Macaca mulatta: one gene and its partners. The protein of the gene in region 1 interacts with the protein of each later gene in a pairwise test. Links are inferred from orthologs where the notes say so. Each region holds a gene or a part of one and is shown on either strand. Other genes may lie near its edges.

The links.
Region 2: the proteins of ARRB2 (region 1) and AGTR1 interact in a two-hybrid assay, tested with the Homo sapiens proteins (2 studies listed by BioGRID and IntAct, with this or other methods). The link is inferred for Macaca mulatta from reciprocal best matches to the Homo sapiens genes ARRB2 and AGTR1.
Region 3: the proteins of ARRB2 (region 1) and MAPK9 interact in binary tests that used the Homo sapiens proteins (3 or more experiments, as listed by UniProt). The two-hybrid records come from large-scale screens. The link is inferred for Macaca mulatta from reciprocal best matches to the Homo sapiens genes ARRB2 and MAPK9.

What each region holds. Positions count from the first base shown.
Region 1 is NC_133421.1:6,242,081-6,249,554, forward strand, and holds part of ARRB2 (beta-arrestin-2), read left to right. Parts: exon of another isoform or gene 1-576; intron 577-1,254; exon of another isoform or gene 1,255-1,456; intron 1,457-2,367; coding exon 2,368-2,398; intron 2,399-2,525; exon of another isoform or gene 2,526-2,554; coding exon 2,555-2,689; intron 2,690-3,316; coding exon 3,317-3,377; intron 3,378-3,490; coding exon 3,491-3,535; intron 3,536-3,754; coding exon 3,755-4,011; intron 4,012-4,558; coding exon 4,559-4,618; intron 4,619-5,023; coding exon 5,024-5,091; intron 5,092-5,217; coding exon 5,218-5,353; intron 5,354-5,591; coding exon 5,592-5,676; intron 5,677-5,943; coding exon 5,944-6,016; intron 6,017-6,813; coding exon 6,814-6,951; intron 6,952-7,474. UniProt on the Homo sapiens protein: Functions in regulating agonist-mediated G-protein coupled receptor (GPCR) signaling by mediating both receptor desensitization and resensitization processes.
Region 2 is NC_133407.1:51,686,148-51,694,358, forward strand, and holds the start of AGTR1 (type-1 angiotensin II receptor), read left to right. Parts: upstream 1-3,604; 5' UTR 3,605-3,890; coding exon 3,891-4,008; exon of another isoform or gene 4,009-4,039; intron 4,040-8,211. UniProt on the Homo sapiens protein: Receptor for angiotensin II, a vasoconstricting peptide, which acts as a key regulator of blood pressure and sodium retention by the kidney.
Region 3 is NC_133411.1:189,303,707-189,311,648, reverse strand, and holds the start of MAPK9 (mitogen-activated protein kinase 9), read left to right. Parts: upstream 1-3,335; 5' UTR 3,336-3,539; intron 3,540-7,942. UniProt on the Homo sapiens protein: Serine/threonine-protein kinase involved in various processes such as cell proliferation, differentiation, migration, transformation and programmed cell death.

The DNA.
Region 1 (7,474 bases):
TGGGCCTATGGTAGAAACCATTTAGGGCCAAAGGCCAGAGTCATTGCTCTCCTATATGCTCCAGCTGTCAGAGCTGTAGACCAGATGGAAAGATGGTTAAGTCTTACCCAGATACTGCGGCAACCTGCCCATTGGGGTCCTCTGGGAATGGGGTGGTAGAGTTGGAGGAGGGATGGGCTAGTTGGCAGGATTTCACGTTCTGCTGTCTATCTGAGGATCCTTTCCAGGGATCACTGCTGAGGCAGAGTGGATTGGAAGGAGTAAGGTGATGCTTCAAAGAATAGGCTCACAATTGGCCATATCACTGGGATTGCCAAACACTTCCTTACCCTCCCAGCAGTGGGTGGAGTCCAGGCTTAAATTGTTTCAGCAACTGGAAAGCGAATACCCTTCAATTGAACAAACTATTGATGCCAGCTACAGAGACGGATAGTGTAATATTGATTGAGAGGATGGACTCGGAGCCAGACCGCCTTGGTTTCTATTAATTCCCACCATTTACTCTCTCTGTGACCTTAAAACACTTAACCTCTCTCTGCCTCAGTTTCCTCACCTGGAAAATAGAGACATTAGGACCTCCATCACTGGGTAGTTTTATTTTATTTTATTATTTATTTATTTATTTATTTATTTATTTGAAATGGAGTCTTGCTCTGTCACCCAGGCTGGAGTGCAGTGACGCAATCTTGGCTCACTGCAACCTAAGGCCGGGCGTGGTGGCTCACGCCTGTAATCCCAGCACTTTGGGAGGCTGAGGCGGGTGCATCACCTGAGGTCAGGAGTTGGAGATCAGCCTGGCCAACTTGGGGAAACCTTGTCTCTACTAAAAAACTACAAAATACAGGCCAGACGCAGTGGCTCAAGCCCGTAATCCCAGCCCTTTGGGAGGCTGAGGCGGGCGGATCACTTGAGGTCAGGAGTTCGAGATCAGCCTGGCCAACATAGGGAAACCCCATCTATACTAAAAATATAAAAATTAGCAGCCAGGCGCAGTGGCTCACACCTGTAATCCCAGCACTTTGGGAGGCCGAGACTGGCGGATCACGAGGTCAGGAGATCAAGACCGTCCTGGCTAACACGGTGAAACCCCGTCTCTACTAAAAATACAAAAAATTAGCCGGGCGTGGTGGTGGGCACCTGTAGTCCCAGCTACTCGGGAGGCTGAGGCAGGAGAATGGCATGAACCTGGGAGGCAGAGGTTGCAGTGAGCCAAAATTGCGCCACTGCACTCCAGCCTGGGCGACAGAGCAAGACTCCATCTCAAAAAAATAAAAAATTATCCAGACATGATGGCAGGCACCTCTAATCCCACCTACTCAGGAGGCTGAGGCATGAGAATCGCTTGAACCCAGGAGGTGGAGGTTGCAGTGAGCTGACAGCGTGCCACTGCACTCCAGCCTTGGTGATAGAGCGAGACTCCATCTCAAAAAATATATATATACAAAACATACCTGGACGTGGTGGCTCACGCCTGTAATCCCAGCTGCTTGGGAGACTGAAGCAGGAGAATCACTTAAATCTGGGAGGCGGAGGTTGCAGTGAGCTGAGATTGCGCCACTGCACTCCAGCCTGGGCAACAGAGCGAGACTCCGTCTCAAACAACAGAGTATTACAAGAGATGACACATTTGAAACACGTGGAACGGTGCTGGGCATGGAGAAGTCACTCTGAATGTTAGCAGCATTAGCATCTTCATGATCTGGGTGGCACTGTGCTGGAGATGCGTAAATGAATAAGGCCTCCGAGGCTCACAGTCTGAGGAGGGAGGCAGCTAACTGTCCGTGTGTGCTACCACACCACAAGTAAAACATCAACAAGGTGTGACAGGAACCCAAAACAAGGAGTGACCAGAGTCTGGGCTGGGTCAGCTTCCTAAAGGCTGGGCGTTCAAACAGGCTTTTAAGCTGTTGAGGTCGGAGTTGGGGACAGTTGGAGGTGAGTAGAGTAGAGTCAAACTTGGGTAGGGCCTATGGTAGAAACCATCTAGGGCCAAAGGCCAGGGTCATTGCTCTCCTCTATGCTCCAGCAGTCAGCGCTGTAGACCAGATGGAAAGATGGTTAGGTCTTACCCAGACACTGAGGCAACCTGCCCATTCTGGTCCTCTGGGAAGAGCCTGGGTGGTTCCTAGGGCAACCAGTGGCCATTACTAGGGAGGGACGGGGACGAAGGAGGGTGGACAAGAGAGGGGCATTTCCCCTTGCCGCCATGTTAGAAATAGGAAGGACCTTCCGGGAAGAAGGGGAAAGGGGCAGAGCTGGGCAAAGCCCTGCAGCCTCAGGCAGGAGGCCTGGGAGGGAGAGGGTCCTGGTGTGGGGTCCCTGCTGAGTCTGAGGGAGGCAGTGGGGTTTCCCTTTCTGTTTTGTTAGGGTCTTCAAGAAGTCGAGCCCTAACTGCAAGGTGAGTCTCCACAGCACTTACCCTTTCGACCCTCCCTGGGCCCCAACAAAGCCCGGCCTTCCCCTAGACGATCCCCAGCCTGCCCAAAGATGATCCCCAACCCCTAGCTCCCCACTTCCTGTGACAGCTAAGAGCCGACTTCCTTTCCTCCTGAAGCCCCTTGCCGCAGAGGCTGCTCAGCCTGAGCCAGCCACAGGCTGGGTGGGGCAGGCCTGGGTCCCCAAGCAGATCACAGAGGAGGCGGCCAGAAGCAAGCCATGTGCCTGTAGCCCTCCTAGGGCCCAACCCAAGGTGCGTGGGGCTGGGAAAAGTTAACAGCCCCCACCCAGGCTATGGCTTATTGATCCTAGAGCCCCTTGAGGGGACCTCGTGAGGGTGGCAGCTGCTCTCTAGCTGGCTAGTAGGACTGAGTTCTCCCTGAAGATCCAAAGACACACACACATAGACACACGGACACACACAGACACAAATACACACACACACACACCCCTCTGGCTGGTTGAGGATGCAAACACACACACACACACAGACACACACAAACACACCTCGCTGGTTGGGCTGAGTCCTCCCTGAGGATGCAAACACACACACACAGACACACATGCACATACATGTTCACATGCACACCTGACTGGGTGGGCTGAGGCCACACACACACACAAACACACACACACACACACACACCGGGCTGGTGGGCAGAGGTGTGCAGAGATTAGGGAGCAGCTAAAAAGCGTTAAGGTCCACTAGTCTGAGAAACGCCGCCACCCTCACTTTCCAACACTGTTGGGAGGAAAGCTGGAGAAACTCCTTCCTGATAGCCCAGCCTGGAGATCCCCGGGCAGGGCAGCCAGTTTTGAGGGCTCCGATGCCCTGTCACCATCCTCCCCAATCTCCCCTGTGACCCCTTGACATCCTCAGCTCACCGTGTACTTGGGCAAGCGGGACTTCGTAGATCACCTGGACAAGGTGGACCCTGTAGGTAAGTGTTCTCAGAAAGGAGCAGCTCGTTCCCCAAGAGGGGAAGAAGTTCCCGGGCCCAGGAAAGGGGGCGGCGGCTCTTTCCGGAAGTGAGCTGGTGTGTCCCCCTCCTAGATGGCGTGGTGCTTGTGGACCCTGACTACCTGAAGGACCGCAAAGGTACTGGCCCCAAGTCCGGGGGCTCAGGGGAAGTGGGGGCTAGGGAAGTGAAATGGGCTGGCCTTGGAAGGGCACCCCAGAGAGATGGAGGCTGGAGGTGGAAGCCAGGAGTAGGGTTCAGGCAAGTCTTATGCTGCTGAGGGAGGAGCAGCGGCTGCGAGGTGCTGGGGGACTGGGGAAGCGGGGCTCCTGACCACACATCTTACCCTCCCTTGCCAGTGTTTGTGACCCTCACCTGCGCCTTCCGCTATGGCCGTGAAGACCTGGATGTGCTGGGCTTGTCCTTCCGTAAAGACCTGTTCATCGCCACCTACCAGGCCTTCCCCCCGGTGCCCAACCCGCCCCGGCCTGCCACCCGCCTGCAGGACCGGCTGCTGAGGAAGCTTGGCCAGCATGCACACCCCTTCTTCTTCACCGTGAGGATGCCCCTGCCCTCTGAGGGCCAGGGGGCTGGGCTGGGACTGTCTGGGGTGGGGGTAAGGCACCGCTATGGACAGATCTGGAAGAAACAGTGAGGCAGGGACCCTAGATCCACCTCCCTTCAGGGTCCCCATGCATTCAGGAAGCCCTTGATTATCTGCCTTCTCTCTGGGTCCCTTCCTTCCTCCTTTCTCATCCCCAGGAGTCCTTTCTCCAGCCTCTTTTTCTTTTTTTTTTTTGAGACAAAGTCTCACTCTGTCGCCCAGGCTGGAGTGCAGTGGCAAAATCTTGCCTCATTGCAAGCTCTGCCTCCTGGGTTCAAGCGATTCTTATGCCTCAGCCTCCTGAGTAGCTGGAATTACAGGCGTGCGCCACCACACACGACTCATTTTGTATTTTTGGTAGAGATAGGGTTTCGCCATGTTGGTCAGGCTGGTCTAGAACCCCTGACCTCAGGTGATCCGCCCACCTCGGCCTTCCCAAGTGCTGGGATTACAGGCGTGAGCCACCGCGCCCAACCTCTCCAGCCTCGCAAGTTGAGATTTGGAGGAAGATCTGGGGGCTTTCTGGAAGGACTCAAGTCTTCTCTTTCCTCTGCCACAGATACCCCAGAATCTTCCATGCTCTGTCACACTGCAGCCAGGACCAGAGGACACAGGGAAGGTATGGGAGGAACAGCTCTGAGGGCTCCCAGGGCAGGACAGGGGCCAGCAGGAGCCTGGAGGCACAGCTGAGCCAGAGGGTGAACTGTCGAGATGCCAGGGTGGGGCCGAGGGTAGGCCAGTGTCTCCGTGGAAGTGGGGTGTGTATGGTGATGCACGCGTGACCCTGCCTTCTGCTCTCTGGACCTGCATGGATCTGGGGATGGGGGCTCCCCTTGCCCCTTGCACTACCATGACCAAGCCTCTGCCAGGTTCGGGGCTTTGGAGAGGAAGACTTGGTCGCCAGGGTCGTGAGACCACAATGGGGCAAGCATCCCTGCCCAAGAGGAGGGAAGGGGGAGGAAGGAAGGGGAGTGATGGTGGCGGGAGCCTTGGGTAAGATGTGGCCTTTTCTCCCCCTCCTGAGGCCTGCGGCGTAGACTTTGAGATTCGAGCCTTCTGTGCTAAATCACTAGAGGAGAAAAGCCACAAAAGGTGAGGGACGCGACCTCCTCTATGATGTAAGAGGAGGCTTTCCAGGAGCCCAGGCCCCGTGCGGGGGAGGAGTAGGGGTCTAGGTGTCTGAGGATTGACCCCCTTCTGCCCCCACCCCCATCCCAGGAACTCTGTGCGACTGGTGATCCGAAAGGTGCAGTTTGCCCCAGAGAAACCCGGCCCCCAGCCTTCAGCAGAAACCACACGCCACTTCCTCATGTCTGACCGGTCCCTGCACCTCGAGGCTTCCCTGGACAAGGAGGTGGGGTGTGAGAGGGTGACGCGGATGCCACGGTGCAGTTTAGACCCAGGGGAGGGGGGGCGAAGCCACACGTCAAGATGACATTTGTAAAGGAGGTTGCCTTGGCTGGATGTGGAGAGTTGCCGTATGCTTGGGTTTGATGGGAGGGGGCCAGAACAATGTGTTGTGTTTGGGGACACACTGATGATGGGACCAGTAAAAACCAGATCCAATTCATATGACCCCCTCCCCCCAAAAGCTGTACTACCATGGGGAGCCCCTCAATGTAAATGTCCACGTCACCAACAACTCCACCAAGACCGTCAAGAAGATCAAAGTCTCTGGTAGGAGGTGGGGTTTGGAAGGGGGTCTTTGGGGAGGGTGTTACTGCACAGGTGGCTCCTGGTGTGATCTCAGCCCAGGCCATTTCCCAGGGCGGGAGACCCACCAGGGCTCAAAGAATTTAGGTTGTTCCAGAATGATACAGGGAGCCTCGGTGTTTACTGCTTCCAGGGGGGAGCATGGAGGGGCCACGCCACGGGGTCTGGAGTTGTGTTGTGGGGGTGGCTTGTGCTCCATCCAGAGCTGCCTGACCCTGTCCCCCCCCACAGTGAGACAGTACGCCGACATCTGCCTCTTCAGCACCGCCCAGTACAAGTGTCCCGTGGCTCAACTCGAACAAGAGTGAGTATCGGGAGAGACCCAGTTCCCAGTCTGGGGGAGAAGAGCAGGATCGGGAGAGTGTGAGGTGGGGGAAGAATTCTTCCTAAGCCATCGCCACTATTTTTTTTTTTTTTTTTTTTTTTTTGAGATGGAATTATTGCTCTTGTTGCCCAGCCTGAAGTGTGATGGGGCAACCTCTGCTCACTGCAACCTCCACCTCCCAGGTTCAGGCGATTATCCTGCCTCAGCCTCCCAAGTAGCTGGGACTACAGGCATGCAACACCATACCTGGCTTATTTTTATTTATTTATTTATTTATTTTTGAGACGGAGTCTCGCTCTGTCGCCCAGGCTGGAGTGCAGTGGTGTGATCTCAGCTCACTGCAAGCTCCGCCTCCCGGGTTCAAGCCATTCTCCTGCCTCAGCCTCCCGAGTAGCTGGGACTATAGGCGCCCGCCACTGCGCCAGGCTAATTTTTTTGTATTTTTAGTAGAGACGGGTTTCACTGTGTTAGCCAGGCTAGTCTTGAACCCCTGACCTCAAGTGACCCACCCGCCATGGCCTCTCAAAGTGCTGGGATTACAGGCGTGAGCCACTGTGACCAACCACCATCTTCACTTAAAAGGGTATTCCCTCTACAACCAGGCACCTCTGGGTTGCTAATTTTCTTGAGCACGTTGAGCCACAACCTACTCCCTTGTGACCTGTGCCCAAAGAGAGAAGGGACTGGTGAAGGGGAGATGCTGCTTGGGGGTGATAGGCCGCCCCTCGCCCAGTCCAGCCCCTTGAAGCGTCTTGTTCTCTTGTTCCCACCCCCAGTGACCAGGTATCTCCCAGCTCCACGTTCTGTAAGGTGTACACCATCACCCCGCTGCTCAGTGACAACCGGGAGAAGCGGGGTCTCGCCCTGGATGGGAAACTCAAACACGAGGACACCAACCTGGCTTCCAGCACCATGTGAGGGTGGGGCTGGGGCGGGTCCCCCACAGGCCAGGGGCCAGACGTCAGTTGAGTGCTAACTATGTGCCAGGCCCTATCCTAGGTGCCAGGGAGGTACAGTGAACAGAAGAGACAAAAAGAACTCTTACATTCTAGGAGAGGGAGGCTAGACAAATCCGATCAGTGGTCACTGTACGGCAGGTTTAGTGACAAGTATGAAGGAGAAAAAGCCAGGCAGAGAAGGGAGGGATGGGGCGCAGTGAGATGCAAAGGTGAATTGGGAGTAAGGACCCAGCGGAAGTAAGCAACATGGGTGAGCAGGAAAGGACAGTTCTGGGCAGAGAAAAAACAAAGACTCAGAGGTGGGGCAGCCTGGAGTGTTGGAGGAATGGGGAGGTGCCATCGTGCCCTCGGGCAGGAGCAGCCCTGGAGGTCCTCAGCTTCACAAAGGGCTGGATTTCACCTTCCCCGGTGCCTTTGTTCAGGGTTCTCACTGCACAGCCACATACAACAGGCCCGGAAGGCAACTTATCAAGAACTA
Region 2 (8,211 bases), on another chromosome or scaffold:
TTTTATTGCCAAACAATATCTCATGGTATGGAGATATCACCTTTTATCTATTCATCAGTTGATAGATCTTTGACTTATTTCTGCTTTGGGGCTATTATGAATAATGCTGATATGAATTTTCATGTGTACATTTTTGTGTGGACTTATGTTTTCATTTCTCATGAGTATATACCTAGGAATGGAATTGCTGAGCCATCTGGTAACTCTATGCTTAACATTTTGAAGAATTCCCACTGTTTTCCAAAGTGGCTGTACTATTTTATATTCCCACCAACAATGCATGAGGGATCCAATTTCTCCACATTCTGGACAACACTTGTTACTATTTGACTTTTTGATTATAGCTGTCCTAGTAGGCATAAAATCATATCTAGTTGTTCCTTTGAGTTGCATTTTCCTGCTGGCTAATAATGTTGAGGTTTTTATGTGCTTGTCTACCTTCTTTAGAGAAATGTATATTTAGATCCTTTGCCCATTTTTAACGGTTTTTTAAGTTATCTTTATATGTGTTTTATTATCTTTATATGTTCTGAACACAAGTCCTTATCAGATATATAATTTGCAAATATCTTCACACATTCTTGGCTTTTTCTTTTCACTTTCTTGATACCCTTGGAAGTACAGATGCTGTTAATATTGATGAAATCCAATTTACCTACTTTTTTTTTGTATTTCTTATGCTTTTGGAGTTGTATCTAAGATGGCTTTGCATAACCCAAGGTCACAAAGGTTTACTCCTATGTTTTCTATTTAGAGTTTTATAATTTTTCTCTTAAGCTTGGGTCTATGATCCATTTTGACTTAATTTTTATGTGTGGTATTACAAGGAGTCCAACTTCATTCTTCGGCATATAGATAGCCAATTATTCCAGTACCATTTGTTAAAAAGATTACCCATCTACATTTTTTCAACCCTTTTCAAAAAAATTAGTGGCTCATACATGTAAGGGTTTAGTTTGTGGACACAATTCTGTTCCATTGATCTTTCTATCTATTCCTATGCCAGTTCCACACTGTCTTGTTTATTGTAATTTTATAGTAAATTTTGAAATTGGTAAGTTTGTTCTTTTTCAGAATTGTCTTGACTATTCTGGGTCCCTCGCACTGCCACATGTTTTTAGGATAACTCCGTTCATGTCTGCAATAAAAGCTTGCTGGGTTTTGATAGAGATTTTGTTTAACCTGTAGATCATTTGAAGATTAATGCCATTGTAACAATATTAAATCTTCCAATCCAAGAACATGGAATGTCATTCCATTTATTTAGGTCTAATTTGTTTCAACAATTTTGTTGTTGTTGTTTGCTTTCAGAGTACAGGTTTTATACCCTTTTGTTAAATTTATTTCTTAGGGTTTTTTGTTTTTTGTTTTTTTTTAAATGGAGTCTCACTCTGTCACCCAGGTTGGAGTGCAGTGGCACAATCTCAGCTCACTGCAACCTCCGCCTCCCGCGTTCAAGCGATTCTTCTGCCTCAGCCTCCTCCTCCTGAGTAGCTGGGACTACAGGCAAGCGCCTCCACGCCCGGCTTTTTTTTTTTTTTTTTTTTTTTTTTTTTTTTTTTGTATTTTTTGTAGAGACGGGGTTTCACCATGTTGGCCAGGCTGGTCTCGAATTCCTGACCTCGTGATTCGCCCGCCTCAGCCTCCCAAAGTGCTGAGATTACAGGAGTGAGCCACTGCGCCCGGCCATTTCTTAGTATTTTTACTCTTTTGATCTATAGTAAGTAAAATTGTTTTTATCTTTGAATTTTTAAATTTTTAACACAGTTCAAATCAGTGTGTCTGATTTCATCTTCTTCTCTAACAAACCAGGGTACCAGAACTGCTTCAGTTTCTCTGCCTTCTCTTTGTCTGTGATGACTAATGTATGAAGGTATCTGCTGCATCAAACTTTAAACTTCACATTATCCTTATTTTTCTTGACTTTGACAGATCTGGCATCCTTTCACCTGGCTATAAGCAGAAAGTCCTTGATTTCCTTAACTTTTTGAGGCATGGCAGCATGTCGGGCGGGAGAGGACACAGACCCACACAGCAAGTGGTGAGAAGCAAACAGTGGAATTGTTTTCTTAATTCCATTTGTTGATTGTTTATTGCTAGTGTATAGAAATACAACTGATTTTTGTATATTGATCTTGTATTCTAAAAACTTGCTCAACTTGTTTCTTAGTTCTAATAATTAATTGATTTCTTAGGGCTTTTTAAAACAAAGTCACGTCATCTACAAATAGAAATTATTTTACTTTCTTTCTAATCTGGATGCCATTTATCTTTTTTTCTTGTCCAGTTGCCCTCACTAGAACCTTTAGTACAAAGTTAAATAGAAATGGGAACACTAGACATATTGTCTTGTTCCTGATCTTAGACATAAAAACGTTGTTTTTCAATATTATGTGTGATATTAGTTAAGTTTTTCATAAATAAACTTTATAGTTTGAGGAAGTTTCTATTCCTAGTTTGTTGAGTGATAGCATGAAAAAGTGTTGAATTTTACCCAATAGTTTTTAAAAAAAAATTTAGACAACCATGTAGGCTTTGTCCTTTATTCTTGTTTTTTACTTCTTTAATTTCATTTTTATTGATACACAATAGATGTACATTTTTTAGGTACATGCAATAATTTAATGCATTCATAAAATTTGTAAAGATCAAATCAGTGCAATTGGGATATCCATCACCTTAAATATTTGTCTTTTCTTTATGCTAGAAACATTCAAATTATTTTCTGACATATACAATAGATTACTGTAAACTATAGTCACCCTACTCACCTATCAAACATTAATTGATTTTTGGTAAACTAATCTAATCTTACTTTCTGGCAGCAACCTCACTTGACCATGGTGTATAGTCCCTTTCATATGTTATTGGATTCAATTAGCCAGCATTTTGTTGAGAATTTTTATCCATACTCATAAGAAATATTGATGTCTATACTCATAAGAAATACTGTAGTCTTCTCGTGATGTCTTTATCTCGTTTCGTTATCAGGGTGATACTGGCCTCATAGCATGAGTTGGGAAATCATCCTTACTCTTCTATTTTTTGGAAGAGTTTGTGAAGAATTGATATTACATCTTCTTTAAATATTTATTGGGTTTTTTCAATACATTTTTTTAAACGCAACTTGGGTAGCATGTCCAATAGGAAGAAATGAGTGTCCACCCTTTAATTTCATAACCCTGGAATTAATCCATGTAATCTATGATCCACAACAGTATTACCAAAGTTCGAGTTACTCATAGGAAAGAGAAAGAAGTTCTCTAATTCGTCCTTAAAAGTTTTCCAAGTTCAGGGAAAAAAAAAATGTTGAAGAACATGAATCTCCGCAGGAAATGATACTCCTGTACCCGCAGCTCGCTGCCCCTCATGACCCCTCGCTAGGCGGGGTTCGAGGCCAGGTGGACACTAATCTGATAGTTGACAGGGGACGACTGTGGCATCATCCTTGCTGCCGTCAGTATCCTGGGAGGGAGGAGGTTGGGCCGGGAGGGTCTCCCGGGGCGGGGCGAAGGAGGAGGGAATGCAAAACAGAGCCTCGTCCCCGGAACCCAAGAAGCAGCAACGCCCCTCACTATAAATTCGGAGCTGCCTCCTCGCCGATGATTCCAGCGCCTGACAGCCAGGATCCCAGGCAGCAGCGAGTGACAGGACGTCTGGACCGGCGCGCCGCTAGCAGCTCCGCCGGGCCGCGGCGGTGATCGATGGGGAGCTGCTGGAGCGGACCCAGCGAGTGAGGGCGCACAGCTGGGACGCCGAGGCGGCGGGCGGGAGACCGCACCAGCGCAGCCGGCCCTCGGCGGGACGTGACGCAGCGCCCGGGGCGCGGGTGAGTCCGCGCGGACCGCCAGGCACGCTTGGGGGACTTCAGGGGTGGGGTGCTAAGTTTCATGTCACGGTGTCCTAACTGCTGGCTCTATACTGGGAAGCTCTCTGGGACCAAGGAAAGAGCGACCGTAGTTCTGGTCAACGCCTGCCCCTGGAGCTGGCCACACTTCACCAGATCAGGTGAGGGGCTTCTGGAACGGGAGGGAACAAGGTAGGTTTGTTTGCCACGTGCCCCGAAATTCTCAATCCATTTTGACCAAACTCTTCCGAGTGTAAGCAAGAAATTTACAGAAATAAGATGCAACTCAATAAACTTTCTTCCTGAGGCTTTTAGTTAACTCTTGTCTTTTAGCCATCATCTGAGTCGGAAGCCCATAGGACTCTGCAAGGCGTTAGTTTAAAAGTTGTGCTACTTTTGAGGTGAAGTTAAGAGTGTCCCCATCCACGCTCTCTGCTTCCCAGACGATGTCCCTGCGCTGCTCACCTCCCCTTAGCTCTCTCCCTGCAAACTATAGCGGTGGGTCCTAGACAGGGGACGTCCTTCAACCTGGGCCAAACTCTCCCACCCTCAGGATTCCTAGATGCTCTTTGAATGATCAAACTGAGGAAGGAGAAGCAAGATGTCTCCACACTCCAATTCCTACAGCCTTAGCCAATGCATTTGTGTAACTGAGACAGGATTTTAGCAAAAGGTCTTCTGTTTCACAGGACTAAACAGAGCCTCTGGCGGGCCACTTCCCGGCACCCAACTCCATCCTCCGATTTTGTTAAATGTCCAGGTAAACATCTCCACAGTGCCAGCCTGTTATAGTCTCCTGAAGACCTCAGAAATTCTTCGCCAAAGTGTCTCCTTCTGCACTGTTTTTTGGGGCAACCATTTGTGACCTGGCTATTGAGCTCACCTGGGCCCCCTTCTCTTCGTTTACTAATAGCCTCGTTAAGTATTAAAAACTTACTTTCCCCCACTCAGGAACCCTCTCCTAACGAAAGTTTGGGTACTCACTTTCCCCTGGGATCAAATTTGGGACTTGGCGACATTTATTTCCTGTGTCATTCTGAGAAGATAAAGTAAGAGTAAGAGGCAAGCAATTTGGCACCCTATTGATCTATTTTATTACTTGGTTGAGCAACTTGTGCTTCCCCTTGAAGCTGCTGCATCCCAACATGATTCTCTTGTTAGTTACCACCTGAGGTTCTTGGATCTCCAGGTGTTTATTTCACATAGCATATGCTTTAACCCTCTTATAAGTCTTCTCTAAGAAAGGAACTGCCATACTTCCCTTGTCTTCTCTGATGTCTCCCCAGCTGTAAAGGCCCCACCTGCATAACCTATCCTCAGGCTGTGATGTATTCCCGGGTGCCCTGGTACCTTCTCCTTCCTCTTCACCACCCTTCCTGACAGTGTAGGAGCAGGAAAGCATGGGGAGAAGGGAAATGGAGACTCCCACTTAACTTGCTGTGTGATAGTAGGAGCATTATTTCACAACTCTGAACCTCAAGTCTCTGCCCATAAGGTCCCCTACAGTGATATAATTCCTTCCTTCCTTTTGTTTTTTGGTTATTGCTTTAAAATAAAAGTCTAAGCTTAAGGCTAGGTTATAGAAACTGCCCATCATAATTGCTAGGTCTCAACATTTGCTTAAGTTCTGTGATTCTTAGTTTCACCTCTGTTATCCACTCTCTATCCCCGCCACCTTTTTTTTCCCTGACTTCATTGTTCTTTGTTCCCATCTTGAGACCTTGATTTCTGGTTCTGCTCTTCTTTGACCTTAAACTGAATCAACTGTTCCATCATCCAACTCAGAAGAAAATTGTTTTCCTTCCACCGGTTCCACTGATGCCAATGGAAGACTTGTCTTCCTTGCGATTTGCAAAATGTCTTTCGGTCACTGGTGCTGCGGCAACGCTGCTGTCCCACAGCATTCTAAGCTTAAATCTTTCTCTCTCTTACCCTGGGTCGGTATTCAAAAAAGGGCAGATTTGTGGGTTGCTCAGGTTTCTCACTTTTCTTTTCTTTCTTTCTAGTTTGGGGTCAGAGTTGTGTATTTGTGTATATAATTTTGTTTTGGTTTTTTGTTCCTGCTGCTACTTATGACTGCTGTTATTTCGATTACGACTAATTAATACTAATGATTCATTTTCCCCTATGCTAGAGGGAAAATTAAGGAAGAAAAGTTTAATCTGCTACTTACCCAAAGCCCAGGTGAAATACTTAGCTGAGAAGGAATTTAAAACTCATAGTTTAAATGCATGATGCATGTCTGCTGTCATTTTATCTGTGCTGCCACAGTGTCCTTTCAAGCAGATAACTGAGAGTTGCTGTATTTTGCCTTTGAATTTGTTACAGGGACAAAAATAGTGACCCCTCACATTTATGTGTTTTGGCTGCTTAATGCAAGCTCTTGCCCTCTAGCCCCATGCTTATTAGTTTACCTAGCTCTTTTTTTGCTCGGTCGTAACTGGAGAATGCCAAAGAGTCTCCCAAGTAGGCTACCAAATTAAGAATGGTGTTTAAAAGTTTGCAGTAAGCCCAAGTGTTGTAAAGATTAAAATGCTGTTTTGAAGATGTGCTGTGGCAATAAACAAATATGGAGCCAGAGCAACAAAATGTGACCAAGTGTCCAAGCCTAGCTTAGGAACACTTTTCTCCCATGTTATCTAGCAAACTGACAAATCAGCTTTCCAACTCGTAATGATTGGAAAATGCTATTATTTTTCTTCAGAATAGTCTTAATGTTTCTTTTTCAAAATTGCCTAAGGTCATTGGATTATGTGGTTTGTGTTTCTTTTCACGTAGGTGCTTGTTAAAGCAGTATACTCAGTCTCTGATAAGCAACAGTAAATTTGATCGATTTGTATCCTAAATTTATCTATCGCTTTACATTTTGTTTTATTCATAATATGAACTTTAGCTTCTAAAAATCAACTTTTTAATAGTTTAATATATAAAGCCATCTTAAATCAAGGAATATCTATATGACTTAAGGTAGTATTCCACTGAATTGAAAGTGACTACCGTAATCCTATTAAAACTCTAAAATACAATGTTTTAATCACAGAAAAAAAAAGTCTTATAATTTAAAGAACTATAAATTGCCGGATGTTTCCCTAGTTATTACATTAGTGACAAATTAGACAACTGGAAATAGAAAACAGAGTATATGTTTAGAACAGTCATAAAAGGACTAGTGACTATTGCTGCTAGCTGTGGTTGTATTAACATTAAAATATTTACTATCTGATTTTTCTTCTTTCTTATCATAGCAGATGCTTTGAAAAAATTTCTTGCATATGAAAATCAAAATTGTCTTCCAAAACATTTAAGTAACAGAAAAATTCATTATGTAGTGTAAATGCTGTATGATTACATTCCTTTACATTATTCTTATAGTTAATTTAGAAGGGTTTGAATTGTTTCTGTTTTGTTTATATTTGTTTCCTCAATAGGTGCATTCTCTAACTGTCTTAAGTAGAAACAAACGTCTACAATCTATCAGTGATTATCAGTCTCCTTCCTATTACCAAGAATATTTTTATTGTGTTGTTAGTCTCGCGTTTAATTATTTTTTTAACATTTAAAAGTTTGGAAAATGGGTAAAAAAATGAGTGTGCCTTGTTTCCTATTATTACAATGTGCCTTCCTATATCAAGTCCCAATTCTAGATGTTCTTCAAACTTGAAATCATAGAATTAATAATCCTTCAGTTTAAGTCAACTTTTATGTGATTTCTCGTCCACTTAGACACACATAGATGCCTTCATCTTCACCAAATAATGTAGAAATTTTATTTAGATCAATGGATTTAAGTACTCTGTATGCTTAACTATGAAATAAGAATATTGAGAAATACACATATGATTGTGTACTTTTGTTGTTGTTGTTGTTTGGTTTTTTGAGACAGAGTCTTGTTCTGTTGCCTAGGCTGGAGTGCAGTGGCATGATGTCAGCTCACTGCAACCTCTGCCTCCCAGATTCAAGTGATTTGCCTGCCCCAGCCTCCCTAGTAGCTGAGATTACAGGTGCATGCCACCACGCCCAGCTAATTTTTGTATTTTTAGTAGAGAAGAGGTTTCGCCATGTTGGCCAGGCTGGTCTCAAACTTCTGACCTCAAGTGATCTCCCTGCCTCGGCTTCCCAAACTGCTGGATTACAGACATGAGCCACAAGCACCCGGCCTGATTGTGTACTTTTAAAGAGAATTTGTTGTTGCCAATTTGCTAAGTTTATTTAGTTATTTTCTCATTCTATATTAGTCAAAGCTTCTCTTATCTACTTTGGAAAATGAAGAATTATGTCTATAAAATATATCAACAACAGTTGCAGATATTTACAGAGGAAATACTGTGGATCTGAGTGATATTAGGCCCTGAGGACACACGCCA
Region 3 (7,942 bases), on another chromosome or scaffold:
GGGGGATATCAGGACCACAGAAACCTGTAGGCACTGTGGCTGCACATACAGCTGGTCTCCGGACAAGTCCCCGATGCCCCAGGCACCCCTAGCTCCTCCACCCTGCCGTGCTCTTGTCTTAGTCTGCTTCTGTTGCTTACAACAGAATACCTGAAACTGGGTAATTGACTTTTAAAAATAATGTATTTGTTATAGCCCTGGGGGCTGAGAGGTCCAAGGTTGAGTGGCTGCATCTGATGACGACCTTCTTGCTGGTGGGGACTCTGCAGAGTCCTGAGGATGGTCCAGGTGTCACATGGCCAGGGGGCTGAGCATGCTCACATGCCAGCTCCGCTCTTCCTTCCTCTTCTAAAGGAGCCACCAGTCCCACTCGGTGATAACCCTTTAATCCATGAATCCATCAGATTAATCCCAACCACCCTCAGAGGCCCCACCTCCCAGTGCTGCCACACTGGAGATTAAGTATGAACATGAGTTTCATAGAGGATAAATATTCAAAATAGCACCTCCTAATTTTTAAATGTTTCTTAACTAATCAACTAAAAAAAGCAAACCTCTCTGGGCTAAACAAGGCCTATCAGTGAGCTAAAGGCAGCCCGCAGGCCTGGCAGTGCCAATCTACCTCAAGGTCCTCAGAACTCTCCAGTCCCCTCACCTTTCCCTAAGACCAGGTGACTTGTGGCTCCCTGAACACAGGAAGCAGGTCCTCACGTCTGAACATTTGGGCCTGAGTGCCCTTTCTGCCTAAGTCGCAGGCCCAACATATCCTGCCGGGCAGCCTTAGCAACAGCTTCCTCCGGCCCAGGAGGCCTCCCTCAATTGCTTCTCCCCACCACAGACCAGATCAGGTAAGACATGCTCACGTGTCCTACCTGGTTCACATATGTTGTGGCAGGATCTTTTCACTTGGAGGGTTCAACCAGCATTCTTGGTGCTGTTCCAAGGCCCCCATCCCCACCCTGTCACCTCAGCTTTGTGTCCATAAATGTTCACTGTATTTCATAAACCAGAAAAAAAGCAGTGTCTCTGGAATAAAAAGAACCCTTACAGAAAACTTAGTGTGAGATATGTATAGGTGTGTACACATGTACACTGATTTTTGGTTACTCACTTGACATGATGTGAGTGCTATGAAGTTAGGCCTGCAGTGCTTGAAATTGGTGTCCCCGTTTTTTTTTTTTTAGTTTGTTTGTTTTGTTTTTGAGACAGAGTTTTTGCTCTGTTGCCCAGGCTGGAGTGCCGTGGAGCAATCTCGGCTCACTGCAACCTCTGCCTCCTGGGTTCAAGTTATTCTCCCGCCTCGGCCTCCTGAATAGCTGGAATTACAGGCACCCACCATCACGCCCAGCTAATTTTTGTATTTCTAGTAGAGATGATGTTTCACCATGTTGGCCAGGCTGGTCTCGAACTCTTGACTTCAGGTAGTCTACCCCCCTCGGCGTCCCAAAGTGCTGGGATTACAAGTGTGAGCCACCGCGTAGCCTTCCTAATGAGGAGAAGCACCCATCAGTGCTCCTTGGTGGAACCTCAGCTCTGACAGCTAGGCTTTTACTCTTTTCCCATGATCCTTGATCCTGGCAATTTCTGGTTTCCTGTTTTCTCTCATGCACCTGAGGCAGGTGGCAGGTGAGTCTGAGGTAAGGACAGGTGTGGGCCCTCCTCAATGCAGGCCACACTGCGAGGTAGAATTTCAAGCCGCGATGAGCCATGCTGAGATTTAGCAAACTCCCTCTGGTGGCCAAGGAGGACACCATGCTGCATCCGTTCCTCTACCCCACCCCTCCTCTGAGGCTCTGGTGCCTCCAAGCGGCCTGGCCCAGCCCTCAGTGCCCTTGGAACCTGGGTCACAGGCTAGCTGCCCTCCCCAAAGTCTGCAACCACCCTTCACACCACCCAGCCCCTTGCCCTCCCCATCTGCAGAGTCCTGTTCCTTCTCCCAACTCTGGCCCTGGCCACTCCGTGGATACTGGTATTGTGTTTCTGCTGTTCTACCCCCCACTCACCATTTGTCAACCACTGTTCCCACTCTTCCAGTCCCCAAAGCCCGGCTCTCCGCGGTTTTCCCCATGTGCATAGCCTCGTGCCGCGCTTCCTGCTTCACTTTTCAACGTAGATCTGGCAACATCCCAAGTCCCGGCCTCTCCCATCCTGTACGACCCCCAGGCCGCTGGTACCTGATCCAGCCTCAAAAGCAACTCAAGAGTCAACGGGTCCCAGTCCCTAGGGGGCCCTGAGCAAGGGACTCCTCGCCCCGCCCCCCACCCCTCTCAGAGACTTGACTGAGCACCTCCCTTTTTTTTTTTTTCTGAGACAGAGTCTCACTCTGTCGCCCAGGTTGGAGTGCAATGGTGCAATCTCGGCTCACTGCAACCTCCGCCTCTCGGGTTTAAGTGATTCTCCTACCTCAGCCTCCCGAGTAGCTAGGATTACAGGCGCCCGCAACCACGCCCAGCTAATTGTTTCGTATTTTTAATAGGGACAGATTTCACCTGGTTAGCCAGGCTGGTCTCGAACTCCTGACCTCAGGTGATCCACCCGCCTCGACCTCCCAAAGTGCTGGGATTACAGGCGTGAGCCACCGCGCCCTGCCGCACCTCCCAATTTTTAAATGTTGTCAACTAAGTCACCCCGCCACCAAGCGCACTCCCCTCCTGCGTCACCGACCCATCGGGTAACCTGTCTACACACGGCCATCTCTTCGCACCCCCTCCCCTTCTCCAACCCGACTTCTGGCCTCACCCACACCCCCACAGACCCGTTCCTGCGGCGCCGCAGCGAGCAACCGAGTACAAGGCCAGCCCCGCCTCCCGGGCCCTAGCACGCCGGGCTCCCGGACGCCAGGCCGGCCTCTCCCCGCGATCGCCCCGGGCTCTCCCCGAAACGGGCGGCCTCCCGTGCTGCTCCAGGCCGCCTCGCCGCCACGAGCCTGCACCTGTAGGCGAGGCCCGGCTCCCCGCGGACCCCGCGGTGTGAGCCCCGCGCGCCTCCAGCCCGGTTCCCGGTCCTCCGGGCCACCCTCTCCCCCGAGCTGCGGCCCCCTCGCGCGGACAGCGGGCTCAGCTGGTGGGACGCGCAGTGCCTGCGTCTCCAGCTCACCGCGTGCGCGGCGCGCAACCGAGCGCCATGGCCGGTCGGCCGACGCCACTGAAAGGCCCGGGGGCGTCGAACCCACGGAACCCCGGCCCAGGACCTCGGGCGCCCGACCCGGCCCCCGGCCCCGCCCACACCACCTCCAGCGGCCCGCCCCCCAGGCGCCATTGGCCGCGCCTGCTCCGCTCTCCGCGCGCTGATTGGTCGGCCCGAGGGTCGGTCAGACCGGGCGCCGCGGCGGCGGCAGCGGCAGAGAAGGGAGCGGGACCGGAAGGGTCGCAGCGCCCCGGCGCCCCTCACACCCACTGCGGCGGCGGCGGCGGCGGGGCGGAGCGCGGCGGGGCGGGCCGGTGGCGGAGCCGGGGCCGCGGAGCCAGGAGTGACTAGCACGCAGCGCCGCCAGTCCGCCCGCCCGCCCTCTCCCCGTGGCGCGGCGGCGGGGAGGCGAGGTGAGCCCGGCGGGCGGGCTAGGCCTGGCGGCGGCTGCTCGGGCCGGGCCCGCGGGGAGGGGCGGCGGGGGAACCGCGCGGCCGGGGTTTCGGGGTGGGCCGGGGGCTGCGGGGCCCTGGCAGCCGCAGCCGTCGCCCCTGTGCTCGGGGATGCCGCAGGCGCCCCCTTCCGCCCGGCTGTCAGCGGCTCCGGGCTGCGGGCCTGCTCCCCGGCCTGGCCCGGCCGACCTGCCCGTGGGGTCTGCGGGCGCCATCCCTCGCGGAGGTGGGGCGAACAGCTGCACTCCTGCGCCGGGGGCCCAGGGGCCCGGGGTCGCGTCCCCGCGACCTTGACCAAGGCACTGACCCTCGCTCTGCCGCGGTTTTGCCTTCAGGAAGGTGGGGAAATGCCTCTTCTGGACAGGGTTGTTGTCAGGCTGTGTGAGTGTATGCAGACGCCTGGGCAGGACGCCGGTGAACATTTGTGGAAGATTGGGCAGGGTGCTGGCCCTTGCCGGTGTGAGTGGTGTAGGAACCCCCTCCTCATCCGCCCAGCCTCCCGCCTCCCCACGCACGCCTCCCTTGCCTTGTCATTGCACACTCAGTGTCCAGCAGTGCCAGAGGGGACCCAGCCCACATCCCTTACCACCACACCCCTCTCCCAGAAGACTGCTGCCCCAGTCCACTCATCTCGCCCGCCTTGAACATGCCAGCCCGCATTTGCCCCAGGACCTTTGTATTTGCTGTTTCCTCGTCTTTGGAGTTGTCTGTGATCTTGGCACAAGTAGCTCTTTCTGCTCCTTCCTCTGGCCAGATGTCTCGGTTTGGGTGAGGCCCTCCTCGACCACCCTCTTTCTTCCCTTAGTCATGCTATTTCATTATTTTAAAAATTTCCTTCCTAGCTCTTACCTGGTTTGAAACGTTTCTATTTATTTGCCTGTTTATTTTCTGTCTCCCCGACTAGGATGTAACTTTGTGAAAACAGGTAGCTGTCTGATTTGTCCACTGCTTTATCCCCAGTACTTAGAAAGCACACAGTAAGTATTCAGTAGTATCAGCTCAATGAATGAATGAATGATCAAAGAAATGGCCCAGTCTCCCTGTTGTCTCTGCTTTATCTGTTAATTTAGTGACTTCTGATTAACGTGTGAAACTTGTAAGCAGATGGAAGCTTGTTCTATTTTGTGAAACATTTTGGTGTCCTTGACCCCTTTAATTGCTAACCGTTGGAACAAGCTGTGATGTAAAATCTCACATTTTTATAATGGTTTAGCTCTAGCTTTCTTCCACACATGCAGGAGACATTTACTGAATTCTGCATTATCTAGGTCATGCTTTCTGCTAGGCCCTAGGGACACAAGGCAGATAGCAACAGGGTCCCTTTCCGAAGAGAGCCCAGGAGCCCAGTAGAGAAGGCAGGCATGCAGACACTTAGTTCCAGGACTGTGCAACCCTTGCTGTCGTGGAGGGGCTATGCCATGGAAATGTGGAGGAGGTGACAGGTGATGCTGGGGGGCCTTGAGGGTGATGAGAAATTTGCTAGGCAGGGAGAGGCAGAGGTATGAAGGAGCAGGGCCAGGTAAGGACCATAGCCCACTGTGGAGTTGAGAATCAGTCTGGAGGGCCAGGTGTAAGGGCACAGAGTCGTGGGGACTCTGAAGAACTGGAACCTTACCCAGCAGTTTTCTAGAAGAAGGTGGAATTTGACTAGTGCCATGGCTCACGCCTGTAATCTCAGACACTTTGGGAGGCTGATGTGGGAGGATCACTTCAGGCCAGGAGTTCAAGACCAGCCTGGGCAACAGTGAGATCCCTGTCTCTACAAAAAATTTTTGAAAATTAGCTAGGTGTGGTGGCATCCACCTGTAGTCCTAGCTACTTGGGAGTCTGAGGTGGAAGGATCCCATGAGCCCAGGATTTTGAGCCTGCAGTGAGCTATGATCGCACCACTGTGCTCCAGCCTGGGTGACAGAGCAAGACCCTGTCTCTAAAACAGAAGGCAGCACTCCACATTTGTTCCGATTTTTAAATGTTGGCAATAGCTAATTAATTTTTTTTTTTTTTTAAATGCTGTGAGCCAAGCCAAATACAGATTCATTCAGCTTGGTTGCAGATTGTCATCCTCCAGGAGTGGCTGTGTGGGAGGGAGGAGCTGTGAGGAGAGCAGGAAAGGTAGCCTAAGGCCAGGAGAGTCAGGCCCTGTTTGCCCAGGTGCCAGCCCAGATACTCATTTGATTGTAACTGGAGCCCTGTGGAAACGGAAGCTCAGGAGTTTGAGTAGTCTGCTTCTTAGCAAGCAGCTGGTGAGTGGAATCCGAACCCAGATCTCTCCCTAGATAAGGATTCTTTCCTGAGTCCCTCAGCTCTGAGTATTCTCTTTTGGCTTTTAACTTCTTCTGGAAGAATGACCACCAATCTATTTAATGTTTTCCTTGATTTAACTTTTAAATTTTTCTTCAAAAGGATCCTGCAGAGTTAAAAACAATACTATTTTTGCATAGACTTCTCTGGACAGCTTTGATTTTCCTGGTAATTTAATTTTCAGGGTGCCAGAACATTAATTTGTTCACAGACTAAAATCTGTTTATTTGGTTCCCTGAATAAACATTAGAGGGGATTCTTGAATGTGTCTAAGATAAAATATTTTTAATTTTCTGGATAAAGAAAAGGACCAGACAAACCAGTTAATAGTGACTAGACCAGTTTTCGTGAGACATAAAACAGAGACCAGATTTTTTTTCTTCTTAAGACTATTGATTTGCCAATAGGGCAACTATTTTTGGTCTACATACATACAGTAGTTATACCTGACACTTGGTTAGGAAGGTGCCATTTTTCCATAATTTTCCTTCAGAATAATTAATTCCTGATATTTTGTACTTGATTGTATGATCCGGTTTCAACATCATTTTTTAAATTTTAACTTTTATTATGGGAATTTTCAAACATATACAAACTAAACAGAATAGCGTTCTGCTTTAACAGTTATTAACTCCTGACCAATCTTGTTTCATCTCTAATGTTATCCTCTTACACACTTACCACCCATAATTATTTTCAAGGAATTCCTAAATATCATGTCATTTCATTCATTATTTTTCAGGATGCTAATTACACAGTGGGTGCCCAGGAAATGTTTGTTAAAGACAAAGCTAAACGGGAGAATACATGTGGTAGGGTAGCTCGGAGCAGTGGTTCAGATCAGGACTTTGAGTCAGACTCCCAGTGGGTCTGCTGCTTATCTGGGTGATGTGCAGAAGCGATCGGGCTCATCTGTAAAACAGACGGGCACAACCTCAGGGTGCTCGCTAGGTATGCAGTAGTTATACAGACGGGCACAACCTCAGGGTGCTCGGTAGGTATGCAGTAGTTATACAGACGGGCACAACCTCAGAGTGCTCGGTAGGTATGCAGTAGTTATACAGACGGGCACAACCTCAGGGTGCTCGGTAGGTATGCAGTAGTTATACAGATGGGCACAACCTCAGGGTGCTCGGTAGGTATGCAGTAGTTATACAGACAGGCACAACCTCAGGGTGCTCGGTAGGTATGCAGTAGTTATACAGCACACTGCGGTGGGTCTCTAAAGGTCCTGACTCTTTTAAAGGTGAAAAAGTAATAATTCCTTCATATCATCAAATAACTAGTCAATCTTCAAATTTCCAGCTGCCCCATGAATTTTAAGTTTCCTTAATAGTTTGAAGGTAGAGCACGATAAGGTCCATACATTGTTGATTGGTTGATACGTCTTTTAAGTTTCTCTTCATCCATAGATCCCCCTCCTATTTCTTTGTTTTCTTGGTAGTTTATTTGTTGAAGCAATCAAGTTGTTCTGTAGCATTTCCACAGTTGGTATTTGATTGATTGCATCTCTGCAGTGTAATTTAATGTGTTTCTCTGTAATCTCTGTCAGTTAGTGATTGGATCTAGACAAGGCTTGGTCAGATTTAGGGTACATTCCTCCATCAAGATGCCGTCCTAAGTGGGCTCTGCACTTCTTATCTAGAGGTAACCTGAGGCTCTCTGCCCGTCTGTTTTACAGATGAGCCCGATCGTTTCTGCACATCACCCAGATAAGCAGCAGACCCACTGGGAGTCTGACTCAAAGTCCTGATCTGAATCACTGCTCCCAGCTGCCCTACCACGTGTATTCTCCCGTTTAGCTTTGTCTTTAACAAACATTTACTGGGCACCCACTGTGTAATCAGTAGAGGATTGAGAAATAAATCAGACACATTTTCTGCCCTTACAGAGTAGAAGTATAAGTAGACTCGCAGTGCAGTCTAAAGTGAATACAGCGAGGGTGGCAACAATGGGGGCATGCCCAGCACGGTTTGAAGGGAAAGGCTGGAGGAGGAAACATGTAAGAGAAGCAGGTGCTTGAACTAGTGTTTGAAGGAGGATGAAGGTTGACCAGGAGGTCA